5 linked regions of the Danio rerio genome follow. The protein of the gene in region 4 interacts with the protein of the main gene of each other region in a pairwise test. Links are inferred from orthologs where the notes say so. Each region holds a gene or a part of one and is shown on either strand. Other genes may lie near its edges.

Region 1 (6,442 bases), on a different chromosome or scaffold from region 4:
AGTGTCCTTGCATAAAGTTGATAGATGACAAAAGCTTGGTGTTATAACTATTATCGTATAAGTATATCTTATATTTTTATAAATATATTGTATTTTTTAAATGATGTTGAGTATATTTTGGGAGTTTTAATTTAAAAAACTATTTATAATAACTAAAACATAATAATCTTTTAAACATAACACAAAAAGCGTAATATCTCAAAACCACTCAGAGTGCAAATTGAACCTTATAATCCCAAGGTGTCACGACAGAAGGAAAAACATGTCCCAGAGAAGGGTCCATAACAGTCTTTAATCTAGGGATTTATTTTTTTTTTAGTGTAAAACACAGTAGAAGACACCATGTAAATAAACAAGAATGTTTTCTCAAGGCGTCCAGTAACCAAAGCCCTTCAAAATACTAGATTACACAATGTTCTCAGAAAGCTGGCTGAATGACGATGTCCATTTGTGTACAAAAGCTTTCTTAAAAGAAAAACCTGTGGGGTCCACCCTTTGAGGTACAGGTATAATCTTAGTTTTTGCTTAATGTGTAAATTTCAGGTGTTTATTAACGTCAGCAATAAAACAACATAGAAAGAACCAGGGCATCATTATACACCTTTTTCATGAACAGAAAACATGCCTCATAAATCAAAACCTTATTAAACACACATTTCAACACAAAGCAAAATCCTATCTAAAAAACCTAAACAAACATTTATCCTGTGTGTAAATACAAAATGTTACACTTTTCATGATTTCCGAGCTAACAAAAACCTTCTGTATTCTTCACCAGGCATTTGCACAGGATCACAGGGAGAATATTATCCATCCTGCTGCTGGATGAAAGGGTTCGGGATAGCTTCCATCCCATCCTGTGGACAGATGAGCACAACAGACGTCCCTCGACAAACAACCAGACCCAGCTGCCTGGTGTCTTCGGTCAGTTTATACTGGTCATCAGGATCTGTGTGGGAAATAAATGTGGTCAGAAATCATATAAAACCATTGATATAATGATAATAGTCAAACACAGATGTCTTTACTCTTAGGGCGGGGTTTTTTCGTATTTTCGGATGTGTTAACACTTGTAGTTTAGTCAGTTTGTTTGGACCAAACAAAAAAATTATACATAGTCCTAGTTTGTCAAGCTTTCATACTCTGATTTTTGACAGAAAAGCAGCTGCATTTATGACATTCAATTCAGCTTATTCAGCTTTATTTGTATAGCGCTTTTACAATGTAGATTGTGTCAAAGCAGCTTCACATTAATGGTCATAGTAACCGGAACAGTGTAGTTCAGATTTTAGTGTTTAAGTTCAGTTCAGTTCAGTTTAGCTCAGTTCAGTGTGATTTAAAATCATTACTGAGAGTTCAAACACTGAAGAGCAAATTCATCAATGCGTAGCTCTACCAATCCTGAACCATGCGAGCCAGTGGCGACAGCGGAGAGGGGAAAAAAACTTCACCTGATAGGAGTGAAGAAAAAAAACCTTGAGAGAACCAGACTCAGTTGGGCACGACCATTTTAATTTCTCCGCTGACCAAAAGTCATGTGCAGAGCTTCAGTCACCGCGGTGGATTCTGTGACTTTAAATTTTCAAAACAATTCTGTATGTTTAGATACACTTGTTTGCTGTATGTGCATGCACACATTTTTTAATCAGTTAAATACGGTGCCCTAGAGAGGACAAATGCAGTGTAAACATGCAAATAGAAAAACACTTACAAACTGAGAATTAATCGTCATTAGTTTAGTAACGTGAATGCAACTTCCAAAATATGCACATAGAAATGTTTTGGGGGACCTTTGGGGCAGCTTTCTTTTTAGAGACAGTGGTGTTGTCAGCATTTAAAGCTAAAATTATCCAAACACCAGGGAATCATACAACTAGGACGTTAAAGTAAAACACTCAGCTCTTTGACAACACCACCACCTCTAAACAGGAAGCAGAGGGTCGGGTTCATTACATTTTCAGGTCCCCCGACACATTTCGGTGCATATTATCACATTCAGGAATATGTGTCTCAGCTTTCTCAATCTGTGTTTTTCTATTTACCTGTTGTTGTTTTTTTTTTAGTTATAGTTTATCCGAAAACTAACCGTTTCACTACTAGATTTCAGCATTTTTCAAAATATCTTCTTTTGTGTTTAACAGAAGAAAGAAACTCAAAAAGGTTTGAAACATATAAAGGGTGAGTATTCAATGACTAGGCGTGGGACAATAACTGTTTTAAGGTTTATCGCGGTTTGAAAAGTCAAGGTTTTAAAAACGTTAAAATTGTCTGTTATACCGTTCTCAAGGTATTTGTAAGTTTTTTTTTTACGACTATTTTATTGAGTTTTTTTGGGCAACAATAGAAAAGGACCATCCACATCACAAGTTACCATGATTCAGGAAACATCTGAAAAACAAATCTCTTATAAACCAACATCCAGCATGCTGTAGAGCTGAACAGTGTAGATGATTTTTTTTATATCCAAAGAAAAGAAAGATATCCAAAGATGCCTTTTCAAGTTGAAAAGAAATCTGTGCTTTTGAAACTAATTAAGACAGCAGAAGTCAATGACATTCAACAATTAATAAACAATAAATTATTTAGCCTGACATTATAGTTTCAAAATATTTTAAATGTTAAAAAATATAAACCATGTTCAATGGGGGAAAAGTTTTTTTTTTACTCAGACATTTAAAAATAAAATATTTTGGAGCAGTATGTACAATAACATGATATTGTGTAACTGTGATATTTCAACCTAAGGTTATCAACCGTCAGAATCTTATACCAGCCCATGCCTAACAATGACAGTATTCATTTTTTTAGGGTGAACTATTTAACTTCAAGTGCATTTAAACTCTCTCAGAAAACCATATTAAATGTGTCAAACCAACACCAGAATTTCCTCTGGCTCACACACACCCAAATGAAGATCTGCTGAGACTGTTTCTGATGCCTGAACTGAACGGTAAGGAGCAACATTGTTATGCTGACAAAAATAGCTATGCTGGAGCATTCTGCCTTTTTATGTTTAATATCATGGCATCATGTCCTCTTTGGGTTGATTTAGATGCATTTATATATCAGTCAACCCACAAGAGTTTGTATGTTGCTTTATATAATTTATAATTTAATAAATTGATTAATTTTATAATTTAAATTGCAGCATTTACACTAAAATTTGTTCAAAACAAACCACACTAACATTAATACTGTGAGAAATTTAATGCAGAACATAATTTGGTACATATTCGGTTTACATTAGCACATTTTACCTCGCATGTATTCAATGGTGCCGTCCAACACAAGATTCAACAACGGGTCGAAGCCTTTTAAGACGCCACTTGCTGAAAATAGGAAACACTAGTGTCAAATTTACCACAATTCATTTAAATATCATAATGTGAAACATTTAAATTCATAATTAATTTCATAAAGCAACTCCCTCACCTTCGCGACCTCCTTGAAACTTTACACGTATATGTTTGTCGATGTATTTCGACAAATCAAAAATACTCTCCTTCTTTTTCTTGTCTTTGTCCTGAGGATCCAAAAACATATTATATAACAATCTCCAGGCCTCTATAATAAATATCAGACTCGTAGCTTAGCACAAAAATACACCACACATCACATTTACAATTACCAGCACACCCTAATGTGTAACAACATAAATATCAAGAGTGTAGGATATATTCAGGTGCTTATATGTTTGTTTATAACGCCGTTTGTCCTTAAAAGTGTTTATAATGTGAACGGTGTGGAAACGTTTGCGCTACTCACCGCCATGTTCAAAACTCCTCTACGCCCCGCCCACTCCGGGTTCACGTTTGACGTCTACCTCTCGGCCAATCACAACGCGCGCAGGTGAACTCTGATATCAAATGTTTTCAATTTTATCAGCTTTATTCACGCACAACTACACAGTATATACAGCTTTAAATGTTTATATCTATATTATACGATTTATAAAAACAAAAACATGTTGAAATACGATGATACGCGTGATTAGGTTGAAGTGTTTCTCACTTCCGGTTGGAAACGGACAAACGCGGGAGTGAAGCGCGAAAAACAAATGAGTCTTTCAACAACCTAAATAACATCTTTAAAACAGGATTACACGATTTTTAATTATTATCGTTGCTTTGTGAATGAATTAGGAATGACGGAATTACTTTTTAACAAGCGGTTGCAGGTGCTGGTGAAGAGTAAAGATACCGATGAGAGGTTTGTGTTGATTGTCTTGTTTTTGAACACAATGCCTAACTTAAATTGATTTATGGTATGAATTTTGGCTTTATTTTGTCTGTAATTATTAACATTTCGAAGTCTGTAAGGGTCTATATGTGTTTATATATGTTGTTTTTGTTACTACAGGCGTTCGGTTATTCGCGTTAGCATTGAACTGCAGTTACCATCCAGCCCTGTTCACAGAAAGGTTTGTTATTAACATGTGTACAACCATATTTATGCCTTTAAGCATGTTTTATGTGGTCTTATAACTTTTTTTAAATTTTTGATCAACAGGATTTAGTTGTACGGCTGACTGATGATACTGATCTTTACTTTTTATACAACCTTATCATATCAGAGGAGGATTTTCAAAGGTATTGTGGTATTAAAAGTGTCATTTCATCAATGAGCCATATTTATTTTCAACACTTTGCTATTAGGCTTCTATGTGATTATATTCTGTGTAATCGTTTTTATTTGCTCTTCTTCACAGCTTAAAAGTACAACAAGGGCTTTTAATAGACTTCACATCATTCCCACAAAAATTTATAGACTTACTTGAACAGTGCATTTGCGAACAGGACAAAGAAAACCCACGGTAAGAGGTTATAATTCATAATAATGTTCAGATGTTGCAGTTGTTAAAGTGATAGACAGGCTAAAGTCAATAATTACTGATGATTTAGTCAACCTCAGGACAAAAATTTCTTATTGGTTCTTCACTGAGTCAAATATTAATACTGTTTGGTGTTTATTTCAAAAATATAAACTTTTTGAAATGAAACTTATATAAAATTTTATAAATATCTATCTAACTATCTATCTATCTATGGGAAAAAATAAAGAGACCCCTTGAAAACTCTATATTTGTATTTGTCTGTACATGTTTGAAAACATTTCTTTTTTTCTTCTAAATTTCAAATCAAATAATGTCATTTAAGCATTTCTTAATATTAAAAATAATAATAGCAATAAACGGTTTAAGAATTTTACTCTTGTATGGTTAAAATGGACACTAACATGTTTTTTGTAATGTTAATTTTTTGTTATTTTGCACAAAAATCAAAGCTAAAAGCACATCGAGAGCAGGGATGCAACGATTATAAATGTTGATCGTACGATTACAGTCTGAGGAATAATCACAATTTCAATCGAGATTAGGATTATTATGCATTCATTCATTTTAAAACACTACTAGTTTAATAAATCACATGAAAACTACTTATATTTTAAAGTGTTGTTTATTGCTGCTCACTTACCAAATAATACAGCACAAAATAATAATAAAAAAACAAACAATATTCAATGTCTCTCTTTAGACTTGAAGATGAAAAAAAGAAAGAAAAAAGTTTCATTAAAAAAATGAAAAAAGTGTAATTAAAAAAAGTAATTGTATACTCAAAATAAATGACAGAATAATAAATAAATAAATGAAAATAAGATAAAAAAGTATTATTATTCTAATGTAAATCTAAGATTTATATTAGCTAAGGATTTCCCTTTTAAAGAGAACAAATTTAGTCAAAGGCTGCTGAGCCTCTGTCTGAAAGGATCTTTTGATTTAAGTATATTATAAACTTATCCAAAATCAAACAAAAAGTGCTCAGGGGTTGTGTCTGTGCTCTTTGGGTAAGGGATTCATCAAAATAAACAGCAAAAATCAGTCCGAGGCATTCCAAAAATGTGGAAAAATATATATTTTAAAAATATTTTTCCACATTTTTTGAGTGTCTTGGAGTGAATTTTTTTTTTTTTTTTTTTTTTTTTAGAAATGTGTATTTTCCAAGCTGACCAGTCACTTTTTGTCATGTGACTCGTGATGCACTCGCGGCATTCTTTCAGCTAGGTTTGCCTGAAAAGCATGAGCATGTCAAGTCACTCCCAATATGTGCACACCATAAGCTAACATACAGTTGGCATAACTTAAATAACTTACAGAAGATTTTTTTTTATGTGTAAAAACATAATGTTGAAAAGCCATTACGATTAATTAACCGTGACAAATTAAAGCGCGGTTAATAGTAAAGTTGGTTAGTTGTTGCATCCCTAATTGAGAGTCGAGAAAAAATTATGTTAAAAATGAATAACCCTGGCTTTTGATGGCACATTTAGGAAATATGAAGATAAATGATCAGCCTGTGCAAGAAAATGAAATTTATTTGCAATAATATTACCTTAATTAATAATAATAATAATTCATTTTATTTGTAAATGGCACCTTTCTGGA
Region 2 (6,563 bases), on a different chromosome or scaffold from region 4:
AGAATTGGGTCAGTTGGCATTTCTGTGTGGAGATGCATGTTTTTTTTTTCGTGTTGGCGTGGGTTTCCGGATGCCCCGTTTTCCCCCACAAGACATCCCACACAGAAAGAACGTTCATTCATTCGTTCATTCATTCATTCATATTCTTGTCGGCTTAGTCCCTTTATTAACCCGTGGTCGCCACAGCGGAATGAACCGCCAACTTATCCAGCACGTTTTTACGCAGCGGATGCCCTTCCAGCCGCAACCATCCACAAACACTCATTCTCACACATTCATACACTACGGACAATTTAGCCTACTCAATTCACATGTACGCATGTGGACTGTGGGGGACACCGGAGCACACAGAGGAAACCCACGCGATCGCAGGGAGAACATGCAAACTGCCTATGGTTTATGATGGTGTTTTTACATTTGCAAAGCGGACAACTGCACACTTATCATAACCTAACATAAATCTTTATTTTTACCTTTAAAATTATGAAAAAAAAGGTATATAGTCTAGAGTTGTGTGTTATCCATGCCAAAATTTAACCAATTCTCTCGGTAATAACTGTGAATTTAGGTAGCTATCTTTTAAATGTATTTTTCTGTCTACACTAATGCTTTTAAATTTAACTAATTAACACAAATAGCTACTATTTTTTATTTTTTTTAATGACATTAGATTGTAACATTTAACTTTTTCTCATTTATATTGGTTGGGTACGGCTACAAGAACACTTTTTTCAGTGTACGTGAAGCGTGATGATTTTGCTGATTTCACTATATTTATTTATCGGTATAGAATAGTCTAACCGTGGGTTAGCTTGCAAGCATAGTTTGACGTCTTTACCTAAAACTGTAAAAATTTATTATTTGAAATAAAACGGAAATAAATAAGGAGAATAAAATAATGTGAAGTTTCCCAGAGATGGGTTGCGGCTGGAAGGGCATCCGCTGCGTAAAAACTTGCTGGATAAGTTGGCGGTTCATTCCGCTGTGGCGACCTCGGATTAATAAAGGGACTAAGCCGACAAGAAAATGAATGAATGAAAATAATGTAAAGCCCTTGTTTGGCACTGAAAGATCAGTCGCATTTATATAAACGGTATCGTTGCACTAATTCATTGATGTAATAATGAAACTGTGCGCATTATTATTACTATAAAAGTATATTGCCTTAAGTCAGTAACTTGGGCAGCAATGCAAAGTAATACCAAATTAGTGAATAAATAGCCTAAATGAAAGGAACAAGAGGGTCCAAAATCAGTCATAAGGTCTGCCCTTTTAAAATGCACCTGGCAGGGCCTGTCAGGGATGGCATTGTGGAGTTTTGCTATAACGCACATCAAACGCACCCAAACAAGCTAACCAACGTATTCAAGACCACTAAAGCTGGCAGGTGCTTGATGGGCTGGAGCTAAAATCTGCATTAGCCCTCAACTGATGTTGCCCATGCAGCCCTATTGAGTCGGTTAGTTTGCGTTTGCAGACCTGCTATGTCAATGTAACTTTATATTTTATTCATTATTTTAATTTATATTTTGCTAATTAATACTTAACTGTAAAAATGTTATTGAATATACTTAAAAGATTTTCTATTTACGTTCAATATGTCTGATACAAGGTTTAATATGTGTTAGTTGAGAAAGTTATTGATGTGCTCTGGCTCCTTTGAGGGAGGCGCACCGGAAAGCAGGAGAGAGAGGGAAAAAAGGAAGTGGAGGAATTCGGCAGATGCAATGCTGTTGTAATGTTGTTTGTGAATGTTATGTCGATGCTCCAGATTAAAGAAAAGAAACGAATTATCACCCTGGTAACCAGCGTTTATTTACGATGCCCACGTTGGAGAGAATGGTCTGTAAACAGCCAGAAATAAGGGTTACAATAACATGCCCGCTCACTTTTGCCAAGGCACTTACAAAAATACATTTCTTCTGATGCCATCTATCTAAAATGAACATTTACAAGCACAAAGACGTGGAATCGATCTATTGTAAAAGGTACTTTGTAAATAAGCATTTGCTATCAGTTCAGAGTCCCTTCTTCCGCTACGATCAGTGGTGAATTAGTCTTGTCTGGTTCTGTTCATTGTTGATTGGGTGAGAGCAGCTCAAGCTTACTGGCTGTGGAAATCAGCGGGCGTGGCTCATTATACTTCAGGAAAGCGCCGTTTATAACGCGCGTTTCAGTGGGGTTAAAACGGCGTTTTAAACGGCGTTTTGTGGCAAGCGGATCGCGTCATAAACCGCGCTTTTCACTAACACTAAAACGGCGTTAAAAACGGCGTTTTTTACAGGTTTACGCGCGTTATTTGCGGCGTTTGCAATCAGAACGGCGTTTTTAGCGGCGTTTGAAATGGTATTAGCGCCGTTTAATGCGGCGTTTTAATTGTAAACGCGATTGATTAATAGTGTTTTTATGAGCTCTTGGGCTTGCCATAAGATGATGATGTGCGCGCGCGGGACTTGTTTTCTCGCGCTGGATCAGTTGAGCGCGCGCGTGAAGATCCCCTGTGCGCTTGCAGCTGTAGTTTTCTCGCGTGTCTGTAATCTGCTCACGGTTCACTTCTCCTCGCGCGCAAACATCACCGCTGCGCTCGATTTATATTGGCATTGATTTGCCGACATAAGACGAGTCGGACATGATATTTAAGATCCCACATGAAATTTAAGACCTCCTTATGGAAAATTACAGAATTCAAGACATTTTCAGACCTTAAAAATCGAAAATTTTATTTAAGACATTTTAAGACTTTTTAAGGACCCGCGGGGACCCTGTAAAATACATCATTGAACGTTTTTATTGAAATAATATTAATATATATTAGAGCTGCACAATATATCACTTCTTGAGCAATGATATTGAAATGTGTGCATCTGCATTAGTTACATCGCAAGATAGGCGATAGTTAGGATTATAGATGACCACCAGAAACCACTAGTCAAAACACACAAGATTTGTGGAGACACTGCAGAATTTAAGCACAATAGAGTGAAAGTTTATCATCACTTTAAGGCATGTGGCTGAGCATTTGAAGAGAGTTTAAAACATTAGTAGTGCATGAAAATGTTTAATAAAGATTAATTTTATTAAAATTTGTGTATGGTGAAGACTACACAGTGCTATTTTACATTTGATTATTCGATTTCAGTACCTGAATCAGGGTTTCTGCAGGTTATACAGTTAAATTTAATTGTTTATAAAACCTTTATTAATTACATTTTAGACCCATAAAGTGCTAAAAGCTAAGGAATTTTTCAAATAGCCCTGATGGAAAAGATTTTTATTTGCCCTATCAAAAACATTATTATATTTTAATACATTTAATAATACAATAATAATAAAAAAATATATATATTTCCGATTTTATTTCTTAGCAAAATATTGTGTAAAAACAAGCAAGCTCTAATTGTATCTATACACTTTTTTCCTCAACATAAACTTTCTTTAAAATAAAAAAAAGAACAAATATTTTAAAACTTTTAAAAACTACAATAAACTAAATCTATGCACAACAATCTCTCCTGTTCAGTGTCCTCAGTAGTAAATACATGGAGAACTTTTAAACACATGTTATTGTATGGAAAATAATTAAACCATTATGGTAAATAGATTAAAAATTACCTTTTTAAATAAAAAGTTTAAGGTTTTGTTGAGAGGATTGTTGGTGATTGTATGGGTGTTAATGGCCAGACTGGGTAGCAACACATGACTTTAAAAAAAAAAAAAAAGAATCAAGACCTACACAATACAATATTTCAGTCAAATTAATACTTTTTAATGGCCAAATTTTGGATTTTGACATTTAAGACACTGTGGAAACCCAACTGAGTACTGTTAGACTCTCAAGAAACCCATTAAGGACGGTTTATTTCACTTTAATAATTACGTTACCCAATTGTGTGTGTGACTAGTTTGTATAAGAAACTACATTAAAATGTATATTTAAATTTCACTCCCCTACAAAACCACTTTTCAAATATTTAATTACTTAATTACAAAAAAGAAAATATCGCAATGTATAGTTTTTTCAATATCGTGCAGCCCTAATATTGAGCTATAATTCATATTTTAACTGGAAAGAGAAACATCTAACGTTATTAAAAGATTACTCACGTGAAAGCTTCTTGTCCATAAACCTAAGAGGGGAAAAGGCACTTTCTTAATTCACAATAGATACACCACCAAACTGAAAGCTAACTCATATAAAATATATCAAAATGGATTAGCAATATAAGTTATGCTTGATGTGAAAATAAAGTAATTTAGCCGTTAAACTGAACACACACCGGCTAACGTTAATAAGTTGCCCATGTTAAATACTTCTTAATATCAAATTTCTAAAAAACTCAAGAAAATACTTGAAATACTTACTTTTTCAGCTCGGGTGGATGTGCTTTGCTCATGTTTATTTAGTGAGATATGCTAGTTTTGTCAAACAAATACGTTTGAATCACGTTTCAAGCGTTGTTCGGAGAATGAGTGAAATGCAGGAAGTGACGTTTTGGGTCGCGGGATTTTTCCCTTGTACTAGCACCATTGAGTAATATTGCCCTCTACTCCGGCGGATGATGAACTACAACAACAACAACATATCGACAAGGTCGCTGGTTCGAGTCTCGGACTCTCGGCTGGGTCAGTTGACATTTCTCTGAGGAATTTGCAAGTTCTCCCCGTGTTCGAGTGGGTGTCCTCCGGTTTCCCTCACAGTCCGAAGACATGTGCTATAGGTGAACTGAATAAACTAAATTGTCTATAGTGTATGAGTGTTTCCCAGTACTGGGTTGCAGCTGGAAGGGCATCTGCTGTGTAAAGCATATGTTGTATAAGTTGGTGGTTCATTCTGCTGTGGCGACCCCTGATGAATAAAGGGACTAAGCCAAAAAGAAAATGAATGAATATTATACAGGCCCATAGCCAGCCTGGTAAAAGGGGTGGTTCTTTTTTCTAAGTAAGTTTACCTTTTTGCAGGTATTTGCCTCATTTTCTATTTAATTATTAGATATACTGCATTTTAGTGATATTTTAAGCACTATCTTTAGCTGAATTAACCTGTCGAATAGTCATCATAACCACAATTTTGATGAATCAAAATATTTCCTAAAATTTTGGAATAAAGAAAAATAAATAAATACATATTTTTAAAAAACAAATGTTACAGCCAATATTAATTAAAAAAAAGGAATCTATTAATGTTTAAATTAAAAACTGTAGCCTATTATAGCGACATTTATTGGGCAAACAACAACTTGGCCAGCTCATTCAACTGTCCTCAGTTAGAATTTGCCCATTTGAATACATATTATTATTAATAATCAAAGGTTCAAAACTGATAAGCTGAAGTCACACCGCAGCAACAGCCAACAGAGGATTACAATTGGTTTTAAGACCCTTTTTGCTTAGTTATTTTTACAATTTATGAAGCATAGCAATTATAATGAGACAAACAAGCTCATATATGGAACAAATGTTGGACCTTTGTTAGTGAGGGGTAGGTCTTTCGAACCCCTCAAAGCCTATTGAGGTAAAGTTAATTTTTATATTCGCACATTCACACTTTCTCCTTAATAATATAATTTCAGAGAAGTATTCACTGCAAATTCTAAATAGTGAAATCATATTAGCAGCCATCAACCATCAAAGTGCAACATTGTTGACAGTCAATTTAATATTGGTAATGTTGCTTTAAAGTCATATTTACATCTGATTTCAGTCCGAAAATTCAAAGTACCACGGTAAACAATATATGGAGCTGTCACTGAACGAATGTGCGAACTTTACCTTAATCCAACCCAACCCCCCGGCTTAGGGCCTGTTATAAATCCAAAACTTACAAGAATATTTTAACCAATTTATTCAAAAATAATTTCAACGTACATAGTAACATGAGGTAAATTTTCTGACAAACATTAGTCAAAAAAAAAAATCAAAAAAAAAATCACACATTTTGGGACAAAGCAGGTGATACTTGAGGTAGCCGCAAGTAAACACAGCCAGAGATTAATGCACAGCTAAACTGAAACATCTATATTCACAATAGAAAAATGAGGTACATTCACTCATCTCATACAATGTGAGCCATAAAGGTACATTTAATACAGTGTTCAAGGACAAAAAGGTCAGTGCATAATAAGAAAAAAGCTGATACGTCACTGCAGCCTATCTGCAAAAGTGTTAGCTGTGTTATACAAAAAGTTAATGCAGATTATAAATTTTACATCATATTACAAAGGTTAGGAAGCCCAAGCAAGAAAAAAAGAACAAAATTTTTCTGCTGCAAAAGTCAGCGAAACGGACAGATCTGAGGTCTCAGTTCATTCTCCAGAAAGAAACTGAAAATATACTTGCAATTTTTGGTCTGATAGCATAAAATGTCATATTTATATATATAAAGCAAGCGACTGTAATGCTCCAACATGTTATATTTTATTCCCAATGTTTAGCAGCAGGCATCTGACTGGGTGTTGTTTTGATGCTGTTATGAAAAATAAAGCTTACTGTATTACGTTTGCTCAACACAAACTGAATAGTCAAAATCAAATCTCAAAGATCAACAATTATCAATTAAACAAATT
Region 3 (6,007 bases), on a different chromosome or scaffold from region 4:
TTCCCTTTATCATTATATTAATGTAAAAAATAATAGTGCAGCTTCATCTATACTTTACAGCACAGGTGTCAAACTCAGTTCCTAAAGGGCTGCAGCTCTGCACAGTTTAGTTCCAACCCTAATTAAACACACCTGATAAAACTAATTGAGTCCTTCAGGCTTGTTTGAAACCTACAGGTAAGTGTGTTGGAGCAGGGTTGGAACTAAACTGTGCAGGGCTTCAGCCCTTTTGGAACTGAGTTTGACACCCCTGCTTTACAGCATTAGCTGTAATAGGTCAAGAATTTAGTTTACAACTGAATTCATATAAAGACAATATCTTCAGTAAACCTTTGTTTAAAAAACAATGTTGTAATGTAATTTCAAAACAGATTTACACACTAAGGGGTGCATCAATTACAGCAATCAAAAGATAATTTGTTTAAGGATACAGGGCAGAGATCCACTGGCTGGTCGAGGCACTGACAAAGAAACAGGACAGGCTCCACATGGCCATGGCGACAGGCGTTCTCTGTGTGAAATTGGACAGTGAGAGCAGGACCCAATCCCGGACCATGGAGGACTGACCAGTGGCATGAAGCGTCTGAAACACCTGTAGTAAGAAGTACAATTTCAGTATCATCCAGCGACTATTTTAGCTTTTATTAATAGTTGAATTTTTATTTTGTTTTCATTTTACTTTTAAAGTTTTAGTAATTCTAGTGGAGTTTTTTTGTCATATTTATTGTCACATTTATTCCAATTTATAGTTGAATTTTTTATCGAGTTATAATTAAAGAATATTTCCGTGACAACTGCCTGAATACAATAATTATTTATTTATTCACCAAACATTTATATTGTTTAAGCATTAACTTTGGCTACACTGACTTCTTGTAGCTCAACTAGTCACAGTTTGATTCCCAGGGAACTGATCAAATGTGTAATTTGTGCCTAAATCAAAAATCAGAATCAAAAAAAATATGTAACTTGTATACAGTGTTGTTTTGGATAGAAAATGCACACATATAAATGTAAAAATATCTGTGTAAGCAGTGCTTCATATATCACTACACTATGATAACAGACAACTGAACTGACCTTTTTATAGATTTCCCTGATATTTTGCTAATATGACCAAACCTTTACAAACAAATTCATTTAAGATCACAGAGTGCATAAAGCATTACAAAAGACATCAGTGCCTAAAATATGGCACTTGCCTTGTAGACCACTGTAGCCATGAACTGTGGGTAAGGCTGCTGATTGGACAGGAACTCCCCAATGACTTTGTTCATAACATCCTGCAGTGGGAAAAAGTCATCCAGGAACTGAGGAAGGATCCTGGCCACAACACGTGCCTCACTCGGAAAACCTTTGCGAATCCTGGCGCAAGAAATTGCCACAGATTAGGCAGATATATTGTGATGAATCACTGGAACAAAAATATATGGTTAAACATACATACCTGTCAAACAGAACAGATACACGCTCCATTGCGACGATGACTGACTCGCTGTCAGGAGCTGTGGGGTCTGCATCAGCAGGACGTCCAGGACTTCCCTTCTCCTTTCCTGTAGTGTAAAATGAGGGCCATCATTAAGAGGAACAGTTTGGTTTCTTTACATTCCAAATAAGAAAAATCTCAGTTTTTTTACAAAATAATAAGAACATTAATATGCGTAAGTGATTAGTTCACTACCAGAATGAAAATGTCCTGATGATTTACTACCCACTTGACATCCAAAATGAATTCAATTTAGTCCTTGAAAATGATTTATGGTTTTTGAGGAAAACATAGAGCATCATTCACCATATAGTCGACTTTAGCGGTTTTCGGTGGTTTCAATTTGCAAATTGCAGTTTCAGTGCAGCTACAAAGGGCTCTGAACAATCCCAGAACTAGAATAGATCGTCATTTTCTTAAAAGCATAACAATCCATGTACTTTATAACAAAAAAAGAACCTTATTCCTTAGCTGGGATAACTTAAAATACTTCAAAGCTACATTTAAAGTTCAAATAATTTACTACCAGAACATTTCCACAGTATAGAGAAAACACTGGAAGAAAATCTATTTGTTTAGCAACTGAAGAAAGAAAGAAATGATTTTGGATGACTAGCAGGAGCGCAAATTTATCACATTTTTCTGGAAGTGAACTAATCACTTAAAACAACCTTAAACATAAAGCACTTTCTTAAAGGAACACTCCAGTTTTTCTTAAAATAGGCTTTTTTTTTTTTTTTTTTACAAATCCCGTAGCTGAGTTTTACCATTTTGTGAATCCATTCAGTTGATTTCAGAGTCTGACAGGAGCACTTTTAGCTTAGCAGAAATCACTGAATCGGATGTGCCCATTAGCATCTCGCTCAAAAATGGCCGAAGAGTTTCAGAAGATTTCCTATTTAAAGCTTGACCTTTTGCAGTTACATAGTGTACTGAGACTGACAGAAAATTAAAAAGATGCTATTTTCCTATTGCTAGGAACTATACACAGATTTGAAGGTGCAGGTGTACGGCTTAGTGCTGGGGTCTTTTTTTCCAGGCACTGCGTAATTTTTATCGTGCCTGCTGCAGCCAGTGTACAGCAGCATAGTTTCTTGAACATTATGCTGGAATGATAGTATTGTTCCTAGTCATATCGGCCTAGAAAGGTGCAACTTTTTATTTTCTATCAGTTTTAGTACACAACGTAACTACAGAAAAGTCACGCTTTAAACTGGAAATCCTTAAATAGAAACTATCAAACTTAAAATATTTTTAGGCCAGATACTAATGGTCAAATGGCTAAGCTAATAGTGCTCTCACCAGACATCAGCTGAATGGATTGAAAAATGGCAAAACTCAGCTGTTTAACTCTAGAGAAGCTGTAAAAATACCTAATTATTATTATTATTTTTATTTTTTTGAAAGTGGAGCGTTGTTTTAAAGAACTCATTCTGCTGCTATGTGCTCTGTTAGTAAGGTGAGTATCTATAAATTGAGCCTGCTCTTATGGCTGCTACTGTTAGTAGGGTGGGTCAGTATTGAAGATGAAGCTGAAATGTGTCCTGCCTTCCTCTCCAGCCACACCTGTGTACATGCAGGTGAGCATGAGACCCAGGGCAGCCATGGCGCGGTGTGGACTGGGCATGTTCACGCGGTCAACGCTGAGCTTGACCAGTGTCTCTGCATCCATGCGTGAAAGCTGCTCAGACAGAAGCAGCCGCTCCAGACCTCGCAGGACGCAGTGGTAGATGATGGACGGTGTGGCCTCCTCGCTCGCGGACAGAATCATGCAGCACAGCTGGATATGCAGAGAAGGTAAAATAGAAGAGAGAGAAGGGTCAATGACAGAGTGTCAAAGATAAAGAAGAGAAAAAATTTGTAATCATTAGTTTAATGTTCAAGTCCTTCATTCTTAGAAATGTGTCTTTGGATTCATATCGCTTTGAAAATCTGTATTACATTCTTACCTCATGTCCAAACAGAGTTAAGAAAGCATAACGTTTTTTTTTTTTATTTGTTAGACAGGATGCTTAATATGATGAAAATGTGTACACAGACAGTTGTGTACAGATATTTTACCTCTCTTGAAGGTCTTTTCTTTGACCAGAGTTTTGGCAATCTCATGCCAAGTGTTACAACTAGGGATACAGAATCTGAGCACTTTGAAATCCACAGATGATTGAGTCTATTCATTTTCCTGTGTAAATTGATATTCATCCAGTAATATTATTGACTGATATGAAAATGTCCATATGATTTATTTACAATACAGTTTATAAAGTAATACTTTCTGTCTTTTAGTAGATATATTATATGGGAGACTTGCTTTGTTTACCAAATAAGTGGATCCAATTGCATTTGCATTGTAAAAATTTTATTCAAAGTTAAAACCATATTATTTTTTTTTTCATATATGAAGTTTTTAGTTATGATGCTTTAAAAGTCAGTTATTTACAAAATTCTCAGCAGAAATAGCAAAAAATGTCCGCAGATTCCATCTGGCCCTAGTTATAATGGTTATAACCCATATAAATATCTGTTTTATGCTAAGTTGTATAAATGTGGGTACTTTATAACTTCTGTGAATAAGGTTGCTGCTTTGTTTACAAACCAATTACTGTAAAAATTAACAAATAAATATGAAAAAAAAAACTGTCCTACAGATTATGCATGGTTTTTATGAAGGGTGACAAAATGTCACTGCAAGCATCCTTCAGGTTTAAAAAGATAGTAATAATAGTAATCATAAATCAATAAAACCATTTTCCTTACAGCTTTAAATAAGGTGAGCATACACAATTATTTAAAAAATGTTTTGCTGTTTTTTTACATTATGGATATATTAATGACATTAAAATTAGAATTTAATATAAAGAGGATTACTACAAATTTGTATTTATTTATTAAAAGCCCATGAGAGATAGAAGCTAACAAAAAAAGCATTTCTAAAAAATAAAAAAATATAAGTAATTTGTTTTCTGAAATGTAAATCTGTCCCTTGAAGCTTTCAGATATTGTTAATTACAGAATATTACATTATATTATAGAACTCAAGTCAATATCACTTATCTAATAACACTTAACCTAAGATTTGTGTAAATAAGTTAAATTATGATATAATCTCTGTTTCATTTAGTGTTTTCAGTAATTCATTTACTTATTGACTATATGTAAATGAAAATATGAATAAAATATTTAATAAAGTTATTTTTAGAAGATTGTTTCTTTGCTTCAATAATATCAAACTATCTATTTATATATATATATATATATATATATATATATATATATATATATATATATATATATATATATATATATATATATATATATATGTATTATTTATTTTTTTTCATTATGAAAATTAGTTTTTTTGTTGTTGATTTGACGTCACATTTTAGAAAACATTTTATGCATGATTCATCAATTTATAGATTAAACAAAAATAAATAAACAAACAAACTGGACATTGAAAGTATATAGATTAGACATATGTTATTCCTGTAATATTTAATATTATTATTTTATTTTTTCTTTCTCTCAAAGTGTATTAAGTTATTTTAAGTTTTATATGTTATTCTTGTTGTATTATTATTTTTATGTAAACCTACAATTTTAACCTTTTTCAATTTGTATGACTGTTTAAAGTAATAAAAATTGTGGTTTAAAAAAATTAACAAACAAACATCTCATGTCAACCCAATAGTCATCCAGAAACCGCTCATATGGATTACAAAATCAAACTGATCTATTAACAGATTATAATTTTATATATTAACACATTATAATGTGGTCTCCTCCCACCTGAATGATGCCGGCGTTGAACTCAGAGCCAACATCCAGCGGGTAGTTCTCCATCATGTAGAAAGCCACGGCGCACATCACCAACACATGCTGCTGGTTGTGCAGATTTACACAGCTGAAAAAGAGACACACACACATAAACAGCATTAGTCCTAAACACACTTGCGTATTTTCAGCGAGGCGATCTGATGCTAATTCTAGCGCTGGTCTTTAATGAAGGATCTCAGATCTCAGTAAGACACCATACATTACAGCTAATGAGGAGCTGATGACCATGCAGCGTGCCGTGTGTGTTGTCATTCCCTGTGTGAACATATTATTGAGTCTACCAGCATGCCACAGAGACTTTGGCATTAGCTTTGACTGCATGGGGCTTAACCTCTTAAGAGATGTGCTAACAGTGTGAAGCCTTTCATCCTATATTCTCTTAAATGAAACGGCAAACACCAAGAGTTTGTGCGAGACTAATGAGTGGTCGCCGTTGGCTGCTGTAGGGAGTGGTGTGGTGGTGGGGTTAAAGCTCAGGGCTGCTAAGAGAAAGGTTAGTGAATTCAGTCCACACAAAGAGTGAGCTATGAGCCTTCATCATTGACTGGAATCAGGAGAAAGTCTGCTACAATGGCTAATTAAGAGCAGCTAAAGTCTCTAGGTTTTTCTAGTATTTTCTGAGCCCAAAGAAATGGAGAAGTTATGTATATTTGCATTCACTACTTACTTCTATTTTAAAGATATATT
Region 4 (6,007 bases):
TTTCTTCATGCCCCAAAATCTTTCATTATAACAAATCAAATATAAAAAAAAGATAAAATTGTTTAGAAGAATGAGTTGTTTATGCTTTAGCCACTGTGATTTACAGTATAAGGCCTCAACAGGCTGTAAAATAAAAGCTCGATTTTGACAGCAGATTTCAGTTCCATTTCCTTATCTAGAAAAGTTTGTAGAAAAGCTTGTTTTCTTTATATTTTCCTCTCCACCTTCAGACATGTGTCCAATTTCAGGGCAGTGCACCATATAACTAACTGAAAACAGCTGCAAGTCTCCAGACTCTTTTTGAGGCGTTTTTCTGCCCATTAAAATCCCATAAACACACTTAAATCTGACTCGTCTCTACCATATGCATGTACATGAAAACATGTGTATCTTGTTATTTTTTTTCGCATTTTGAAATCTTATTTTAGAGTCTGAGTGAAGCTCTTTGTGGATGAGTTTCTGTGTTTTACGTTACAGAGATTCAGCAGGACGACACAATCTGGCCTCAGCTAGAATCAAAACAGTGCAAACAGTATTAGTTACTTAAGTGGAGGAGGTTTTGAGGTTGGAAAATAGAGTTTTGGGTAAAGAGAGGCCCCTGACCCAGTGTGGGAAAAGCGCACAGCTTGGAATTCAAGAGTTTGGAATTGAACAAAAGCATTCGCTCCACTCACAGCACTTTTATCAATGGACAAGGTCAAAGGCTTGCAGGCACGAACATCATGTGATTTAGATCTTTTCTCTAAATGACACACACAGACACACTGACACACACATTTGAACTCATTGAAATTTTGCTAGCTCACCATTTTTCTAATTTACTAATGCTGTCTTTTAGTTTACATCTAGAAAACTAAAATGCCAAGTTTTTGAGAAAGTTTTGTTGTGATTTGCAGCATACTTCAGGCTAAAAAAGGCAGTTTTTCCAAGCCTACGTGTCGTGGTTTGGATTGCTTGAGCAGACCGACAGTAAAAGTTTGGCTCCTGCTGCGCACAATCCAGTTTCCACCACAGACATCCTCATCCTCTCAGCAGTACAGACACACTCCAGTGCTAGCTGTCTGGAATAAACGTTTTCATGGCTAGCAGCGCTTTAGCCAGAATTTGTGGTTATGTAAACAGAAGGCTTCTTTTGTCCCTTCCCAAGGCACTAAATCCTGCTGCATCTTAGTCAGACATTAGTTTCTTTCAGACGATAGAGAATATGCATTATTTACTGTAGAATTGCCTTTCCTAACCATAATGCTCAGTCATGCACATGGTCATTGTTATTGTTCTTTAAGACTGAATTCATTAATATATGTGACAGCATTATATATTTGCCAGGGATAAGTGTTCTTATTATTTTTACCATTGTTATATAATCAAACCATTCTGACAAGTATCTCATTGGGTTGGAGATGGAAGCATTTGTGTTGTGTTAGTTCATGCAGACTGATGCAATTCCTGCTCACTTTGATGAAATAAACATGGTCAAGGCATAACACTCCCACCACAAAGAGGAAGCTCTAGTCACGGCTACTAGCACTGGTTGCATAACCGTTCACATTGTGCCTGATGATTCGCATGTTCACATGCCAACCATAGCTTTCAGAGACTGAAAGGATCAGGGGTCTTGAGCCCCTGCCTCTGTAATCTGTAATGATGACTGAAGTGTGCATTCTATACAAACATTATTGCCAGAGTGCTTTGCATTTGACCCATGGGGAGCACAGGACAAGATCCCAACTAAGGGGCACCTCTTCAAATGGAAATCAATTTCATGACTGCCACTTGTGGAGGTTTGTCGAAACGTTTTGTTTTCCAAAGTAGACTATCCTATACGCAGATACCAAGGAGCCTTGACCTCTGGACGTGATGACAAGAGCAACCCCAGAGACTTTTAAAAAGTGCTGAACTGAATGTTTTTATGTCCTCGATGAGAAGGGCAGCCTGATATCTCGTTGAACAGCGAAGGACAGTGTAGTGCCAGCTGTGGAGGAAAAGACACAAAGAGGAAAAGAAAGTTAAAACTTGGCGAAAGCAGGAGGAAGATTGGGTGTAGACCAACTATTGGAAGGTCTGTGGATGGGATTTTGTGATAACAATATTGTGCTGAAGGCTACAGTTGTGTTCATTTTGTACATGTAAAGCAAGTTCCCTAAAATGGTAGTTGGTAAAGCTCAAGTTCTTCTTTTTGGATGTACGGTAGATACCAATGTGTGACAGTTTAGACAGTGCTGGCATTAAAGTTGCATTAAAGCAATTTTCATGCAGTGTTACCATAAAACAGTCTTCGCAATTCTGTCCTAGGGACCCTCACTACTGCACAGTTTGTGTATCTTCCATCATCAATCACAACAAATTCAGATCTTCCAGCAGTTTACTAGTGGGAGGATGAGTTGAATTACTGGTTTTAGATAAGATAGACGTGTAAAATATGCAATGGGTCTAGGCCTCTAAGAGTTTTTGAGAAGGACTACCCTAAACAACTTACTCCAGGTCAATCCCCTGAAGCAGTCTGTGCTAGTCTGTTCAGTAGTTAAAAGTACAATCTTGTTGGGATCAGTCCTAAAACCTTTTGGTTACCAACCCTGACCCTCAACCTCTATAGTATATCCCTCGAACAAACCCAAACTCATGTCACACCCATCAGCACCAAGATTAATGTGTTGGGGCACTAACTGAATTTAGACTTATTTAGCTTAGAGAAACATTCTCCTCATCACTAGACATGTTCTTTCTTGCATGTAAATATTTAGAACAGATAGCAGCTAGTACGTCTCAATCTGAGGTCAGTGCAAAGTCATAGATCTCATTTATAAATAAATCTCTTCCTGTCTCTTAGCAACAGGCTGTTGCATCAAAACCCAGCGATGACTGCCAGTGGGACTGTTTGTCAATGAGAAGTGTGTTATAATGGCTACTGAAAGAGTGCTGACACAATTTCACACATAGTTACTACAACTGAAGTTGTATAGAGGCAGTGTCATGACACAGAAAGGCCATGTCTTATTTCTAGTACATCTGAAATGGGTGTGTTGAAACATCTAGACTACTTTTGTCGTTGATTGTTGCCTAAAGTTGTGCTGCTGCATTTTTATGCCTAAGAAAGGGAAGAGAGGACTATTGTTCAGCTCTTTGCATCCTGTCAGAAGCATTTCCTGCCTTTTCTGTCGTAAGGAAGTCTGTTCTTCAAATATCCTATAGGTTGAACAATAGAGCAAATAGTATGTGCTCTAAGTATATATGAAAGGAAAAGTGAAAACTCCCTGATAGTATATTAGGCGAACGTACTATATTGCAAAATATTATTGCCATATTTCAACAAGATAATTCTATAAATGATCTAGACTGTGATATGAAGTATACCTCTTCTACTTTCTACAGGTTTCTCAGAAGAATATGTAAATCATTTGACTGCCATCACAACAAAAACTCAGAATCTGACCTTGGAAAAGAGCTTTGCTGAGGATGCACCTGCAACAGTCCTGCGGCAGAGCAGTCTGGACTCCACCCCAACCCTGAAACCTAAGTACCAGCTTTCATCTGTTGACATGGATGTGGACCAGCCTGATCCTGATGATGCAGGTGCAACAGAACACAGCAATATCTGCAATGGTCACATTGAGGAACCATCATCAAAACCACAGACCAAGTCTCTCAAGGTTAGACCTCCTTCTCTCCAAGTGAAGTCCCCACTGAATGGTGTTGACCCCAACGAGGTGGACGATGATCCTCCGATACTTCCGAAGGGGAGCTATAACTTTGACCTTGATCAGGTTAATGAAACCATGAATCCATTTCCAACTGGTGGGTCCAAGTTGCAGAATTCTCCACCTGCCAATGCGAGTATTCCTAAATCAGAGTTGATGGATGAAATGCCTGCACAGCCAGTTTTGCTTGAGTTTGGACTTGATGATACTGAAGTCAAGACAGACCCACCCAAAAAGTCTGGAAAAAAGACAAGCAGCAAGCTGACTACTCCAAAAAAACTGCGCCCAAAAGCTGCAGAAACTGCAGCTCCACTACCAGAGACATCCTCAGAACAAAGCCAACAACCACCTGAAAACGCGGATCTCATCAACGTTGATGATATTCCTATTCCTAAAAAATCCTACAACTTTGACCCAAATCAGTGGGACGATCCCAACTTTGATCCATTTGGTGGGAAACAAAAACTTAGCAGCTCGCCGACGCTTCCTAAAGGATCGTATAGTTTTGACCCAGATACATTTGATGACTCTGTTGACCCTTTTAAGTCATCAAAGTCTTTAGGTGGAAGTGACTCTGTTAAACCAACATCTGAGAAGCTAACAGAGAAACTCAAATCTGACGGAACTCCAGAGCAGCGTAAGAAAGCTGGACAGTCTCCGAAAAAAAGCAAAGACAGGATCCTCACGTGAGTGATTATGCCTGACAGACACCCATAAAAGCTGTTGTATGTTTTATCTGTGGCTTTGTGTTGTGTTCCTAGCTAGCTGTTGTGCCTAAAATTAGCAAGGGCGAGCAGTTTGCATCCACTAACATGTTACATTCTTTTCACTTTGTGTTTTTATTTTATTGTTGGTGTTCTATTTGTTTTTTTTTTACATCTCAACTGATAGTCTAATCACACATCTTTCACATGGCCCAATATCACAGTTTACTGTCAAAAATGTCATGGCAGTCATATTTACACTGTCATGCTGTACACTTTTCACTAAACTATGGCATTGACTAACCAGCTCCTATTTGTTTGGGAAGCCAGGAAGCTTGATCTCACTCCTACCTAATTTTTTTTCATGCTTCGTTTTTGCCCTCTAATGTCTTACGGCACGTCCCTCTCCACATCCCCTCCTCTCTGTGTCTGCTTTCTCCCTCCCCGTCCCTCCCTCTGTCATACCGTCCTCAGGACCACTGAGCAAGTGCGGTTTCTCTGTTTTCTATTGTAAGTATCCTCTCCTGCCCTCCTTTCCTGTACTATGACTGTAACCTCTTCTGTCCCATTGCATGTCATGAGCTTTGCTGAAGGCTGAACTGCCCTGTGGCTACGAACCACGTGCAGTATCAGTCCTCCAAACAAACTAGGGCAGAAGGTCTTATTTTATTGTATTCAAACTGTTCAGGCAGACAGTATTGATTTAGACCATGGGCGTTTTGTAACGATTTTTAAGTATGACCCTTTCACTGTAACCATCAGATTAGCAGATTAGTAGTTTAGATTGGTATTTTCACTGAAGTGTTATTATCAAGCACTTATCGGTTTGTAGATTGTAAATAAGTATGGTAGGTTGTTTGTTTTGAATAGAATGACTATCACTATTTTTTGAGTGGTTAGCCAATGAATTTAAAGTGTTAAAATCTAGATAATAGGCTGACTGGCCACCCTAATGCTGATGATACTGGTTATATGGGATATAATGGAGTTTAAATGTTAAATATATTTATTATTTTAGCAAAATTTAGCATTTTTAATCACACCCACAGGTGTGACTGCAGCACCTATGCTAAAGCTTTAGCTTTAAACACATTTGCAGGCACATCAACATCTATATATATATATATATATATATATATATATATATATATATATATATATATATATATATATATATATATATATATATATATATATATATATACACATACACACATAGGGCTTGATATTAACAGCTATCAACCCACCAAATGCGAGTAAGCTGTTAGACAGACACTCCCACCAGCCACTTTGGCTGGTTGAAAGTAACGCTTAAATTGCAGTTCTATTAAAAGCAGGATTCGACAATAAGGATGGCTAAATATTTGTGCAAATGTGATCTTAGAATCGAGAAGCAGCACCACTGACAAAAAAACTGTTCGCGTGAGCAAAAGAAAGCAGGTGAATACAGAATGAGAGGATGATCACTTGCGCGCACAGGTGTTGTGATACGCGCGACTTTTAAAAAGCGTGCACGCCCCCGTTTACTTGCACGAAGCAACCGTGCCTTATGGAAATGCAACTGCTGCGATCGATTCTCTTTGAAATAGACTGGACAAAAAGCAATGA
Region 5 (6,007 bases), about 18 Mb from region 4:
ATTACTTAAATATGGTACATAAAATTATCAAGCGGATATTTACAAAAAGCTTCTTTTAGAATGTTTTCAATACAATTTATTAAAGGGGTGGTCCACTATGATATTATATTTTAAACTTTAGTTGATGTGTAATGTAGCTGTGTAAACATAAACAGCATCTGTGAATGTTAAAAGCTCAAAGTTCAATGCAAAGGGAGACCTTGGTTTTTACAGAGTTAGCTTAGCAAAGCCTACAATGAACGAATTTTGGGGACTACAAAAAAATGCTTGCGGGCCTTGTGAGATCACAAACGTACTTTTACCGCACACACACAGCTAAGGGCTGTGGCCAGAGGCGCTGTAACGTTACAGCAGAGAGAGCTAAAAAGCAGTCCAAACGCTGCTATTTCCACAGAACTTCTTCTGTTTCTGTATTTGGGCTTCCAAAGGACACGACACAAAGAGAAGTGCTTACAGTTCAATATTAATTATGTTCCAGAGAATTATAAAACACACAGCAAGCATGATTTGACAAAACACAGCTCCAGAATCTCTCCTAGTTCAGTGCTGGATTCGGTTAAAATCTCCTCAAAGCAGAAGCTGTGAACTACAACCTGTAAGTGTTTTTATTTGTTAAAATGGATCATGACATGTACAGTGTCTAGTGTTAACGGTATGCTGTAGCAACGATGTAAACAATGGGTAATGCTGTTTTCCACCACAAATGATTTAGCTACAAATTCATATTTATCAGTCAAACTGCTGTAAACACACACACACACATACTTCACCGGCGTGTGCAGCCTTTCTCTATGTGTGTGCACGACTTTGCATTGTTTCTCTTTAGGCAGCTTTTCTATGCGTTTCACATCTCAGATTAAGAAGTTGCAAAAGATATGTGGATGATTCATATTACTTACACCTGCATATTCCGGATATATGTGAAAGACGTTGTGTAACGCGTTGAGTTAAAAAATACACAATAGCTCACCTGACTCATAGCAGCAGAAAAATAAATCAAGGCTCACACAGGTCTCATCCCACATCTTGTGTTTTATTCTTCTGTAAACAGTGTGACGATATATTACAGAAAATAACTTAATCCGAGCATCAGAGAAAAAGAAAAAGAAAGTCCCGCATAAATGTTACACACATATACAGAAAGTTCACACATTCACACAGACACACGCAATAGCGATGTCTCTTAAATGAGTCGCACCCCATTTTCACTCGTTACAGACACATGTCAGATTTTATTTTAGAGAGCAGGCAGGAGGTTGACTGACTGTTTACACAGCAGAAAAGCGCATGCTTGTACGGGCATGACGTGGAGCTGATCCACGAATCGCTGCAGAGGGAATCAGAGGGCCTTTCAGAGGAACTAGGAAATATCAGTCTGTTTCATGTTAGCTGTGTAGCTGTATATAATCAAAGTGTGATTTATGAAAAAATAAAAAAAAACATGATTTCCTCCTGAATTATTAGACCCCCTGTTTATTTTTTTCCCCAATTTCTGTTTAACGGAGAGAAGATTTCTTCAACACATTTCTAAACATAATAGTTTTAATAACTAATAATAACTAGTTTATTTTATCTTTGCCATGACGACAGTAAATAATATTTTAATAGATATTTTTCTAGACACTTCTATACAGCTTAAAGTGACATTTAAAGGCTTAACTAGGTTAATTAGGTTAACTAGGCAGGTTAGGGTAATTAGGCAAGTTATTGTATAATGATGATTTGTTCTGTAGACTATCGAAGAAAAAAATAGCCTTAAGGGGCTAATAATTTTTTCCCTAAAATGGTGTTTAAAAAATTTATAATTGCTTTTATTCTAGCCAAAATAAAACAAATAAGACTTTCTCTAGAAAAAGAAATATTATCAGACATACTGTGAACATTTCCTTGCTCTGTTGAACATCATTTGGGAAATATTTAAAAAAGAAAAAAAATCCAAAGGAAGGCTAATAATTCTGACTTCAACTGTGTATGTATGTGTATATATATATATATATATATATATATATATATATATATATATATATATATATATGTGTGTGTGTGTGTGTGTGTGTGTGTGCGTGCCTGCGCGTGTGTGTGTGTGTGTGTGTGTGTGTGTGTGTGTGTGTGTGTGTGTGTGTGTGTGTGTGTGTGTGTGTATTGACGAATAATTTCAAACAGGCCAATTAACGGAGATGGATCAATTTTAATAAATGTAATTACTGAAAATGAATCAAAAACAGACTCCCAAGAAGGAAACGAAGCTGGATAGGTCCAAAACATGTGAAGTAGATTTGCAGGTTCGGAGTGACATTTGTCACAGTTTAAATCTGTAGCAGTGAACACGCGAGCCAGTTTACACTAAGACCAGTGAACCCTGTGGACTACTTTGCACAGTAGAATCCCATGACGAGCACATACAGATGATGTTTGGACCTTTTGTAAAGTTTTAACCAAGCCGTACAATTTTAAGTTGAGTCAACTTTTTTTTCTTTTTTCTTTTCTTTTTCTTTTTTTTTTTTTTACAGTGCAGGTTCTCATAAAATGTGTGCTTTGTTTCAAAGTTGGTCATGGGCATCCAGGGTATGCATCAGTGCACAGTGCTCATGAATGTGGTGCACACCCTGTACTCACACTGAGGAGAGAAACTGTTGAATAAAGACATTATTCCTGTTTTATATGAGCACAATTGACATGATAGGATTTTGAATGAACCACTGCAGGTGTGTGGTCTGTTTCGAGGATGCTTTTGGTTCCTTTCTGCTCGAGTCAAAACCATTGTTGTGTATGGAGTTTGAGGGAGCTTTCACATTTCACCTGAAATACCTTAAATTGTATTCTAAAGATTAATAAAGGTGTCAGGGGGTTTTAGTAATTAATAACTGAATTTATATTTTGTGTAAACTAATACTTTACTTATTGCAGGGGCTTTTTTTGTTACCCTTTGTTCCCTTTTTCTCCTTTTAAGTTTATTTGTGGTCTCTGGATGCTTGTTTTTGCTCAGAAAATGGAGCAGGAGGAGAGGCGTAAGGCTGAGGAGGAGCTGAGGAGGCTGGAGCAGGAGAGGAAACAGCAGATTTACCAGTGCCTAAAGGAGGTGCAGAGCAGCAAAAACACACTAGAGGAGGAGGATAAGGACTGGAAGGAGACATGTAAGACAAACCTCATCAGTGCTGAACACTACACCTTATTTTCTTATGAGTTTATTATTTATTGTTATATTTTAACTTGTATTTGTTACATGTACTACTCATTTAGGATCTGCATTACTGTACTGGACATTCAGGTGGATCTCTGAATAATCCATTAGTTGACTTTATTTGTAGAAAGTGATTAAAACCCCTTAACTGCAACCCCCACTTTTTGAACATAGACATGAAAATGGCATGTTCAACTTCATAGACCTCAAATTCCGGGAGGGCCACAGCTCTGCACAGTTTTGCTCCAACCCTAATTAAGCACAGCTGATCCAACGAGTCAAAGTTGTCAAGATCACTAGACATTATTAGATCAGCTATCTTTGATTAGGGTTGGAGCAAAACTGTGCAAAGCTGCGGCCCTCCAGGTATTGAGTTTGAGACCTAGGACTTAAATGAACGCCAATCTTCAACACTTTGCTATATAGATATAAGCTTAGTCTCATTTTAGACAGATGTACAATTTTTATTATATTTAAAAGGGTTCAACACAGTTTGGACAGTGTTTTGTTGTGTTTCATTAAAATTGATTCTCTTAAGACATCAATACTCTGATCAATACTCCTGTTTCAAAATAAATAAATAACTGTTGCTCAGTAATAATTCCTTAAAATCAATTAAACCATCAAAAAATAGACATTTTAAGCTTTGAAATCATATATAGTTTGTCATTACTGACTTATGTTTAGACTTTAAAAATGTAACTGCAAACAGTCCAATAGGTGACATATTATAAAATATATTGTATTGACATATGGTAAAATATTTATTTAGAAGATATAGGCATCATGATTCATGATAGAATCATGATTAGGATTAGACTGACATATAGTGAAGTTATCTTAAGTGTCCCGGTAGCGAGACGGTGACAGTTAAACCTATTGACTTAATTTTCACATTTTTCACATACTGTAGTTTGCTGAATTTTAAGTCACCTTAAAAGTTCAACTTGTCACTTGTCAAGTTTTTTTTATTAAAGCAATTAATTGATCTAACAGTGAACATGTACTTATGTTACAATGTCAACAGCGAACATTTCGAAACCCCTTAGAAGGGAACATGATGATTAGGGCACAGGGATGAACCCTCAATGTTCTGAACGCGTTAGATGTATTTCTGAAACATGAAATATTTGATTTGGATGTTCATTTAATGTTTTTTTAATGTAATTTCTTGTTTCAAAATGTCCAGAGAACATTGAAAAGCAAGTTGTAAATGTATTATATTAACAGAAAATTTTTACAAAATATATATCTCCTTGTTTGTTTTGTCACCCAAAATACTCTTACTTTCTCATTACTGCAATTCCATAAAAATAATCTCATTATTTGTTATCTTTTTTTTTTTTGTCAATTTTCAGTATCGTCATTACACTACTACATCTTTTTTAGTTAAAATTTTTGTTGTATAAAAGTCTACAAGACAATAAATTAGAGAACACATATTATATAAAAAATAAATTGAAATTACTGAGAAAGAGTGGAAAATAATTTTTAAAACACAGTGGAAATCAACATCCTCCTCAGTCTGGAGGGAATTTGGTTGGAAAAACATCATTCGTTTTTTCGTCATCCCTGAGCAAAAGACACATTTATACAAAAAGGCAGTCTGCTGGAGATTATGTGGCTCAAATAAAGCAAATCATTCACATATTTTCTGGAAATGTTTAAAAATCCAGGCATTTTGGCAAGACATTCATAAATATTTAGAAAATATATTCTATATCCCCATCGATTTTTCTTCCTCAACTTTATACTTAGGCCTAAAAAAATCCTATGTTAGAAGAAAAATCTGACAAAAAACTGCTGAAAATTTTGCTGATAGCCTGTAAAAAATGCTATAACCAAAAAATGGTTACCGCTTGAAATACCTCAAATTAGTGACTGGTTTGACATAATTTATGAAATCTATAAGACGGAGAGGCTAACAATGAACCGTCGTCTACAGACTGAGGAGTTTATTGAGACATGGAGGAAATGGGTAGATTATATTCTGCCGTTAAGACCAGATTTATTATAGAATGAATGAATAGTTAGAAAGATGTGAATTTTATTTTGTTTATTTTTTGTATTATTACTAGTAATGAGAGAAAAAATAACCGAAAGACAGAAAGAAGAACATAAGGTATTTTAAATATTGTACATTTAAGATCCTAAAAATGCCATCCTCATAGTTCCATGTGTACATAGTTTAGGTAATAAAAAATAAATAAATAAAAAAATTAAAAAAAGGGTTGACTGGGTGCCACAATATGACAAAAAAAAGTACACAATTGAGTTGTAACTGAAAAGCAACAAATTAATTTTATCCGTTTCTTTTTGATGATATGCAAAACAATTATAAGTGTATTGATTTTCTTGTTTCTTATAATGTCCTTAAATCATTAATGTAACTTCCATTTTTTATTAATGGAAATTTTTTAGTATTATATCATTTCATTTATTCCTACAATTTTGGGAATCCGATCTTTGATTGTTTTGTGAATACACTGTGAAAAACCCTATGTATGTGAATTTGGGAAAAAAAATGTTTGTACTGTAAATCTAATATGTGATCCATACTTTTAATACTTGGTGATACATTTTTGTTACAGTAACAAGAATCATAATTGGGGCAAGGGGGATCCTAACAGGCTTTATGATATTTGTCTGAAAAGGGAAGTGTTGTTGTCAGTAGTTCTCTTTCTGGTGTTATGTTCTCCCTGATGCATATATAATAAGAATAACCAGTGTGATTTTTGCATGTGGTTTTAGTGCAGAAGTCTAAAGCTGCAGACATGCGCAGACGATCTCTCGCCAAACAGACAATCGAGGATCATCGCAGACGCT

What was found.
Region 1: the proteins of tacc1 (region 4) and lsm7 interact in binary tests that used the Homo sapiens proteins (3 or more experiments, as listed by UniProt). The link is inferred for Danio rerio from reciprocal best matches to the Homo sapiens genes TACC1 and LSM7.
Region 2: the proteins of tacc1 (region 4) and snrpg interact in binary tests that used the Homo sapiens proteins (3 or more experiments, as listed by UniProt). The link is inferred for Danio rerio from reciprocal best matches to the Homo sapiens genes TACC1 and SNRPG.
Region 3: the proteins of tacc1 (region 4) and htt interact in binary tests that used the Homo sapiens proteins (3 or more experiments, as listed by UniProt). The link is inferred for Danio rerio from reciprocal best matches to the Homo sapiens genes TACC1 and HTT.
Region 5: the proteins of tacc1 (region 4) and sh2d4a interact in binary tests that used the Homo sapiens proteins (3 or more experiments, as listed by UniProt). The two-hybrid records come from large-scale screens. The link is inferred for Danio rerio from reciprocal best matches to the Homo sapiens genes TACC1 and SH2D4A.

The regions. Positions count from the first base shown.
Region 1 is NC_133197.1:10,399,750-10,406,191, reverse strand, and holds lsm7 (U6 snRNA-associated Sm-like protein LSm7), read right to left. Parts: upstream 3,787-6,442; 5' UTR 3,772-3,786; coding exon 3,766-3,771; intron 3,524-3,765; coding exon 3,433-3,523; intron 3,330-3,432; coding exon 3,258-3,329; intron 950-3,257; coding exon 807-949; 3' UTR 274-806; downstream 1-273. Other genes in the region: sass6 (spindle assembly abnormal protein 6 homolog), read left to right, coding at 4,145-4,209, 4,360-4,420, 4,510-4,589, 4,709-4,813. UniProt on the Homo sapiens protein: Plays a role in pre-mRNA splicing as component of the U4/U6-U5 tri-snRNP complex that is involved in spliceosome assembly, and as component of the precatalytic spliceosome (spliceosome B complex).
Region 2 is NC_133198.1:36,914,215-36,920,777, reverse strand, and holds the start of snrpg (small nuclear ribonucleoprotein G), read right to left. Parts: upstream 4,512-6,563; 5' UTR 4,395-4,511; coding exon 4,363-4,394; intron 4,128-4,362; coding exon 4,105-4,127; intron 1-4,104. UniProt on the Homo sapiens protein: Plays a role in pre-mRNA splicing as a core component of the spliceosomal U1, U2, U4 and U5 small nuclear ribonucleoproteins (snRNPs), the building blocks of the spliceosome.
Region 3 is NC_133176.1:44,387,219-44,393,225, forward strand, and holds part of htt (huntingtin), read right to left. Parts: intron 5,388-6,007; coding exon 5,273-5,387; intron 3,267-5,272; coding exon 3,035-3,266; intron 1,554-3,034; coding exon 1,448-1,553; intron 1,366-1,447; coding exon 1,203-1,365; intron 593-1,202; coding exon 432-592; intron 1-431.
Region 4 is NC_133185.1:25,344,589-25,350,595, reverse strand, and holds part of tacc1 (transforming acidic coiled-coil-containing protein 1), read left to right. Parts: intron 1-3,369; coding exon 3,370-4,381; intron 4,382-4,873; coding exon 4,874-4,909; intron 4,910-6,007. UniProt on the Homo sapiens protein: Involved in transcription regulation induced by nuclear receptors, including in T3 thyroid hormone and all-trans retinoic acid pathways. Might promote the nuclear localization of the receptors.
Region 5 is NC_133185.1:7,472,472-7,478,478, reverse strand, and holds part of sh2d4a (SH2 domain-containing protein 4A), read left to right. Parts: intron 1-2,986; coding exon 2,987-3,134; intron 3,135-5,772; exon of another isoform or gene 5,773-5,932; coding exon 5,933-6,007. UniProt on the Homo sapiens protein: Inhibits estrogen-induced cell proliferation by competing with PLCG for binding to ESR1, blocking the effect of estrogen on PLCG and repressing estrogen-induced proliferation. May play a role in T-cell development and function.